Linked DNA regions of Lonchura striata. The protein of the gene in region 2 purifies or fractionates together with the protein of the main gene of each other region. This does not show direct contact. Links are inferred from orthologs where the notes say so. Each region holds a gene or a part of one and is shown on either strand. Other genes may lie near its edges.

What was found. The genes of interacting proteins can lie anywhere in the genome.
Region 1: the proteins of NF2 (region 2) and AMOTL1 purify together in Homo sapiens (affinity purification with mass spectrometry; 6 studies listed by BioGRID and IntAct, counting the BioPlex papers as one, with this or other methods). This does not show direct contact. The link is inferred for Lonchura striata from reciprocal best matches to the Homo sapiens genes NF2 and AMOTL1.

What each region holds. Positions count from the first base shown.
Region 1 is NC_134604.1:39,569,328-39,573,070, reverse strand, and holds the start of AMOTL1 (angiomotin-like protein 1), read right to left. Parts: upstream 2,708-3,743; 5' UTR 2,675-2,707; coding exon 2,632-2,674; intron 1-2,631. UniProt on the Homo sapiens protein: Inhibits the Wnt/beta-catenin signaling pathway, probably by recruiting CTNNB1 to recycling endosomes and hence preventing its translocation to the nucleus.
Region 2 is NC_134620.1:2,945,093-2,948,835, reverse strand, and holds the start of NF2 (merlin), read left to right. Parts: upstream 1-1,498; 5' UTR 1,499-1,541; coding exon 1,542-1,655; intron 1,656-1,721; exon of another isoform or gene 1,722-2,924; intron 2,925-3,743. UniProt on the Homo sapiens protein: Probable regulator of the Hippo/SWH (Sav/Wts/Hpo) signaling pathway, a signaling pathway that plays a pivotal role in tumor suppression by restricting proliferation and promoting apoptosis.

The DNA.
Region 1 (3,743 bases), on a different chromosome or scaffold from region 2:
AGGCCATTCCATTTAAAAATTCAGGACATAAATGGGGACCAGATTACATCTACACCAAAGCTGCCAAAAAGCAATTGCTATATGAAACCAAAAATCCTCCTGGGATTTTTCTCAAATCCGCAAAATATTCCCGAGCACTAAACTTTCCACTGGGACTATTACATTAGCAGATAGTCTGTGTGTGAAAATCCAAGTATGCAGCTGTCCTCCTAATGGTTTCCAGGACCAGAAGGCTGCACAGGGCACACACTCCTGCCTTAGCACCAAATAACATTTACACCAGACCTGGCCTTTAAAGCGAGTTACGCGCCTATGAGTGAGAAAAAAAGGTACTGTGGACTCAGGCTTTCATTTCCTGAAGGAAAGGTGCAATGGTCAGCAGTAACATCTCCACATAATCCTGAAACACTCATGTGCACAGAGTCTGGTTGTGCCTGACCCTCCCCAGGCTGCTGCTGGGATCCCTTCCAACCCCTTAGGTGTGTCTTTGCTGGAGAAACGCAAAGCCTTTGGCTCTGTGCTGGCGTTTCCTCACAGAGGAGCTCTTGCAAGGAGCACCAGAGCTGTATCCGTGCATCCATCCCTCCATCCAGGGACTAATGTGCAGAGACTTGGTCCAGATCACCGTGGGAGGCCAGGATTTGGAAACTGCCCTCACCCTGTCACCAATCCTGCAGACATCTGGGCTTAGGAGAGGCCAGACGTGCCTCTATGGATTGAAGCTGCCCTCCTCCAGCAGCTGAGCGCCTTCCAAAAGAAGAGGGAAAGTAAAGTTTCCCCTGCCAAATGTTGACAGAGGGAAAACGGGGGGCAACGAACATCAGGACAGATGAGAATGGACATGCAGGTGATTGGGGGGTCCCAGTGGCCCCCACACAGCCTGGGGAAACTGAGAAGCCCAACCCCAGCAACACTGTGGGGCACATACCTCCCCTGTTTAACAACCTAAAACCAGCCTCCCCAAATTCATCCCCTCACACCACTGCTCTAGTCATGGCTGGGGATGAGGAAGGCTGGGCAGGACATTGACCCTCCATGGAGGGCCATGCCATGCACCCAGCACAGCCCCAGAGAGGGCTCTACTATGGGCTCTTGCCAATCCAATATTCCCTGCCCCCACCACTTGGACATTTCTTGATAATGTATTTGTAGAACCCTTGGAAATGCTTTTCTGGCCATTAGAAATGACTATGTATATATACACACATATATGTTGTTGTTGTTTGTATAAAAGTAAATATATACACATGGTCTATATTTTATTTATATACAATATATGCAGACATATATGTCTATATATATATGTAAAAATATAAAAATACAGAAACATACATCTAAATATATTTAGATATATATTTAATATCTATATATAAACTATATACATGCACACCTGTTAGCAGGAATGGCGCTGCCAGATAGCTGTGCTCAGGAAAATTCATAGGACTCATGTTCACTGCCACCATTCTTTCAGGAAGCTTTTAGGCTTATTTCTATACATAAAAAGGCATAACCCAAACTCAGTGGATGCACAAAAAGGGTCTTGCAGACTCTCAGTCACCAGATCCTCGTCTCTTACAGCAGCTGCCCACAGCTCCTGGGATGCTCTCACAGCACCAGGAAAGAAAAAAAAAAACCTCTTTCCATCGAAAGAGGAAAAAGCCCAAGCAGCGACCTTCCTGTACTTAAAGCTATGAATCATAAAACCTGGCAGGAGGATTCGGGTTAAATTCACGTCGTGGTTTTTTGGGTTTTTTTTTTTTCCTTTCAATGCTGACTTTTTTTTTTTTTTTTTTAACCGGAGTTTATCTTTGTTCCCTGCATAGGTAGTAAGGTTAAATACAAAAAAAGTTCCCTCTCGCCATCCCCCTATAACAACACCGTGAGAAAGCGCTCTCCCGGCGTGGGAGGCCCCTGCTGCGTGTCCCCTGCGGCCGGCGCTGCCGCCCGCTGCACCCGCGGGACGGGACGGGACGGGACGGGGCCGGTGTCCCGGTGGGCGCTGCGGGGCCGCTCCGAGTGACCGCCCGGCGCTGGGGACCCGCGGGGACGCTGCGATCGCTGCTGCGGAAACGGGAAACACTCCCCGCGCTCCCGGCCGGCGCTTCGCTCCTCCCGGGAGCGCCGGGGCGGCGGACCCCCGGCGCGTTCCTCCCGCAGAATATACTGCAGACACCCCGCTCCGACTGTTCCGGGGCTCGCCCCGCGCCGCTCTGCCTTCCCGGAGCGGGGAAGATTCCCGGGGAGGACTCCGGGAGCGGAGGAGCGGGAGCAGCGGCGGCCGCCGGGCCGGCGGCTCGGGTCTACCGGAGCGTCGGGCCGGCTTAGCACGGACGCGGCCCCGCTCCCGCACCCACGCAGCCCGGGGAGCAGCGGGTGCGCTGGGTCCGGCAGCCGGCGGAAGGCTGCTCAGGCCTTCCCGCATCCTCCCGGGAGGGCGGCGGGCACGGCAGCACTCACGGGTGGGCACGAGAAGCGCCATCCCGCCGCGGCACCCACGCACAGCGCGGCGCGCTCCCCGGCACACACGTGCGCCCGCACCCCCACGCACAGACACACGTGTGCGCGAACATGTACGCACGGACACGCAGCCGTGCGGGGACACCCGGACACCGGCTCCTTCCCCGCCATTACCTCCGGCTCCGCGCCCCGCCGTCCCCGGCAGCACCGCTGCCATCCGCGCCGCTCCCCGCCGCCGCCGGGCGCGCTCCGCCGGCCGCCGCGGGCCGGGCCGGGCCGGGCGGGGCCGCCGGGGGCGGGGGCAGCCGACGGGGCGGGCCCGGGGGCGGTCCGGCACCTCCCGGCGCGGGGCGGCCGCTGCCCGCCCCTCCCGCCCCTCCTGTCGGGGATGTGGGGGAGGCAGGGTCGGGGGAGCTTCGCGCCCCAGGTTGGAGACTCGCGGCCCCACCCGGAGCCAATGGAGGCACCTGGGTACGCCCGGGGGGAGCCTGTGTGGCACCACGGCTGCCCCGCCTTGTGTCTGGGGATGCCCGGGATCTAAATCCCGACCTAGAGACCGCCACAGACTCCCTGGTCCCTTGCGGGACAAGTGGTGAAGGTTACGCCGAGTCCGAAGCCCGTGAATTAACCCTGGGCATCCTCCTTGTCTCCCAGACCTCTAGCTTCTCCCTGTCCATGGAGGAGTGGATGGCTGTTCGGGGATTGACTGGGAATACCATTTCATTCCTAAACTCACCGCCCCATTCCTGAGCTCAGCCCCTTGCCCTGCTGCCCACCTGCTCCACCAGATGTCTTTGTGGTTTGGCACACCAGCTGCACGGGATGAGCATTCATTAGGGCTGGAGTGACCCACCGCTCCATCTCCCCAGACCACTCCAGCCCTGCTGCCAACGGTTTTGACAGAGGGTACATGGCAGAAGAGCTCCCCTGATGTTTGCACAGCACTTCATTCCCATCCCTGCAGCCATGTGGGCAAAGACTGGGTTGTGCAGTCCCAACACACCCTATTCCCAGCACTGCCCCGTAGGGTAGGCGTCTTTTGGGATAAGTGGCACTGCCAGGATACTGCTTGTGTTTCCCCATCTCAGTGCTTCAACCTCTTTCAGTCCAGAAAGTTGCCCAGTGATGCCTGGACTGTCCATTGTATTTGTACTTCTTTCTTCTAGGGACTGATGGTGGCTTCTTCCTCCTCAATACTGTGCCAAATAGATAAAGACAGGTAGGAAGAAATGCAGCAACAGGCTGAAGAAACCATTCACTGTGCTCACAGCCCCATAAAGGCTCAC
Region 2 (3,743 bases):
TCGGCTGCCCCCGGGACCGCGCGGGTCCCCTCGCCCCGGCAACCACCGAGGGGGCAGCACCCCGTGTCACCCAGGGAACCCCGTCCTGCGGGGACACCCCATGGCACTGGGGACACCCCATGGCACTGGGGGCACCCCAAGGACCTCACGGACCCCCAAAACCCTCAGATCTCAGCGATCCCTGACACCCCAAGGACCCTTACGCCCCACGGGCTCTGCACACCCCCCGGACACCCCCAAATCCCGGACACCCGGACACCTCGGGGACCCCTGACATCCCGGGGACCCCGGGCCCCACAGACCCTGGACACCCCACTGACCAGGGGTCCCGGCCACCCCACGGACACGCCGGACATCCCTGGATCCCGGACACCCCGCGGACCCCTGACACCCCACGGGCTCCGGACACGCCAGGGTCCCCTGACATCCCCCCTGCCTCCCGTGTCCCGGGGTCGCCGTGTCCCTATCCCCGTGTCTTTGTGTCCCGGTGTCCCTGCCTCCGTGTCCCTGCCTCCCGTGTCCCGGTGTCCCCGATTCCCATGTTCCCGTGTCCCCGTGTCCCTCCCTCCCGTGTCTCCATGTCCCAGTGTTCCGGTGTCCCCGTTTCCCCGTGTCCCCGTTTCCCCGACTCCCATGTCTCCGTGTCCCCGTGTCCCCGTGTCCCTCCCTCCTGTGTCCCTCCCTCCCGTTTCTCCGTCTCCCGGTGTCCCGGTGTCCCGGTGCCCCGGTGTCCCCGTGTCCCGGTGTCCCGGTGTCCCGGTGTCCCCGTGTACCGGTATCCCCGTGTCCCGGTGTCCCGGTGTCCCCGTGTCCCGGTGTCCCGGTGTCCCGGTGTCCCTCCCTCCCGTGTCCCCGTGTCCCCGTGTCCCGGTGTCCCGGTGTCCCGGTGTCCCGGTGTCCCGGTGTCCCCGTGTCCCCGTGTCCCTCCCTCCCGTGTCCCCGTGTCCCCGTGTCCCGGTGTCCCGGTGTCCCGGTGTCCCCGTGTCCCTCCCTCCCGTGTCCCGGTGTCCCGGTGTCCCGGTGTCCCCGTGTCCCGGTGTCCCGGTGTCCCGGTGTCCCTCCCTCCCGTGTCCCCGTGTCCCCGTGTCCCGGTGTCCCGGTGTCCCGGTGTCCCGGTGTCCCGGTGTCCCGGTGTCCCCGTGTCCCTCCCTCCCGTGTCCCCGTGTCCCCGTGTCCCGGTGTCCCGGTGTCCCGGTGTCCCCGTGTCCCTCCCTCCCGTGTCCCGGTGTCCCGGTGCCGGGTCCTGGCGCTCGTCCCCGCCAGCAGAGCGCTCCGCCCGCCACCAGGGGGCGACACCACCCCGCCACATCGCTTCCTCACGCCGCTCTTCATGGCCCCGCCTCACCCCGCCCTTTCTCTTGAGCGACGTCCCCACTACCCAATCACAGCCGCTTCTCCTCCCGCCTCTTCAGCACACCCATTTCTATTGGCTGGGAGGGGCGGAGGGGCGGGCGCGCCGCGCTGCGCGGCCAATGGCGGGGCGGAGGGGGCGGGGCCGGGCCGCCATGGCGCCGCCGCCGCGCTGACCGTGCCGCGCCGCCATGGCCGGGGCCATCGCGTCCCGCATGAGCTTCAGCTCCCTCAAGCGCAAGCAGCCCAAGACCTTCACCGTGCGCATCGCCACCATGGACGCCGAGATGGAGTTCAGCTGCGAGGTGACGGCCCGCGCGGGCGCGGGGTCCCGCTGAGGGCCCGGCCCCCACCCCCCAGCCCTGAGGCCCCTCCGGTCCCTCCCGGCCCCCCCCGCCGGTTCCCTGGGCCGGCAGCGGCTCGGCCTTGTTCTGCTTATAAATCAGCCTTATCCTGGTGTCATTTGCGTTATAATTGCACAACAATCTGCCTACAATTCGGCTTTTCTTTGGTTAATAACTCACCTTTACTTTGGTTATGAATCGGTACCATTTGGCTTTGCTTTGGTCATAAGTTGGCTTTGTTTTGGTTGTGATTCAGTGTTTATTGCTTGTAAAATTCAGTTGTATTCTGATCATAGTTTGGCTTAGTTGTTGTTGTCAGTAGTCCTTATTATGTGTGTAACTCAGCATTGTTTTGGTCATAAATTGGCTTTTTTTCTGTGTATAATTTTGCTTTAGCCTGGGTATATTTGGCATTATTCTGGTTATTATCCATCTATGCTTTGGTTATAATTCAGCTTTATTTTGGCAATTATTCATCTTCACTCCAGGTGCAATTTAGCTTTATTTGGGTTATTATTTGGCTTCATTTCGATTACAATTCGATCTCGTCCTGGGTGCAATTTGGCATTACTCTGGTTATAATTAATCCTATACTTTGGCTATAATTCAGCTTAATTCTGGGTATAATTCAGTTTTATCCTGGTTATAATTCAGCTTTATTCTCATTACAATCCAGCTTCCCTTGGGCTCTAATCCAGCGCTGTCCTGCCATCCCAGCCCAAGTCACCACTACACTGTGGCTGTCACAGGGCTTGAGGAATCTCTGTGTCAAGGCTTAAATCCACAGGAATCCAACTCCCAGGTGCTCCACAAACACCCAAGGACAGGATTTTGGCATTTTCCTGAGCTCTTAGCTCACCATGAAGCTGAGGGATGCTCCGGGGGGTTGGGTCTGGCTTTTCTGTGATAATTTCCCTTTTTGGGGCCCTTGGAACTTGTAAGGCGTTCTCCCAGGGCGTTGCTGCCAAACTTTGCTTTTTCAGCTGATCCAGAGGGATTGGCCACACGAACACTGAAACCCCTCTCCAACCTCTGCATTTAATAGTTTATATTTCATTATCCTGCCCCAAACCCTGAGAGAATCCCAGCGCCCATCAGCCAAGGGGAGTTTGTCATCACCGATTTCCTGGCTCTGGAAATCTGCTCTCAGCCCTGAAGGACTTCCTGCTTTTCCTTGGGATTAAGGATTTGCTCTGGGCAGCCGTGTGAGCTTCCCACTTCCAGCAGAGTGTGAGTGTCCTGGCTGTGTTTTCCCTGGTTTCCCAAGGCTGCAGCAATAACTGATGGTGGAAAGTAAATAAATGTGAATTTTAGTGCTGTGGCCGCGTGTCACTTCGGGTGTCACTTCCCGCTGAGATCAGGGGGGTTTGTGCAGCATTCCCGTGGGATTTGGCCGTGGAACTGCTGCATCTCCAGCTGACTTTCCTGGGAGGTTCCTGCCAAAAGAACTTGTTGCTGCAGAGGGACTCCTGCAGCTGGAAGGAGCTCAGGCCCTGCTGGGGGCTCCTTGTGGTGGAGCTGGTGCAGGGGGGATGCAGAGGGAATTCAGAGCTCGTCCTTCAGCAGGGAATATTGGAGCAGGAGGGGGGATAGATGGATGCAGGTGGGTGATGGGGCTGTTTCACACCTTGCAGGTGAGGAGTGAGTTTTTATGGAATCGTGGAACGGTTTGGGTGGGAAGGGATCTTAAAGCTCATCCCGTTCCACCTCCTGCCATGGGCAGGGACATCTCTCACTGTCCCAGGCTGCTCCCAGCCCCATCCAGCCTGGCCTTGGGCACTGCCAGGGATCCAGGGGCAGCCACAGCTGCTCTGGGCACTCTGTGCCAGGGCCTGCCCACCCTCACAGGGAACCTTCTCAATCTCCCATCCATCCCTGCCCTCTGGCAGTGGGAGCCATTTCCTGTCTCCTGTCCCTCCATCCCTTGTCCCCAGTCCCTCTCCAGCTCTCCTGGAGCCCCTTTAGGCCCTGGAAGGGCTCTGAGCTCTCCCTGGAGCTTCTCCTCTCCAGGTGAGCACCCCCAGCTCTCCCAGCCTGGCTCCAGAGCAG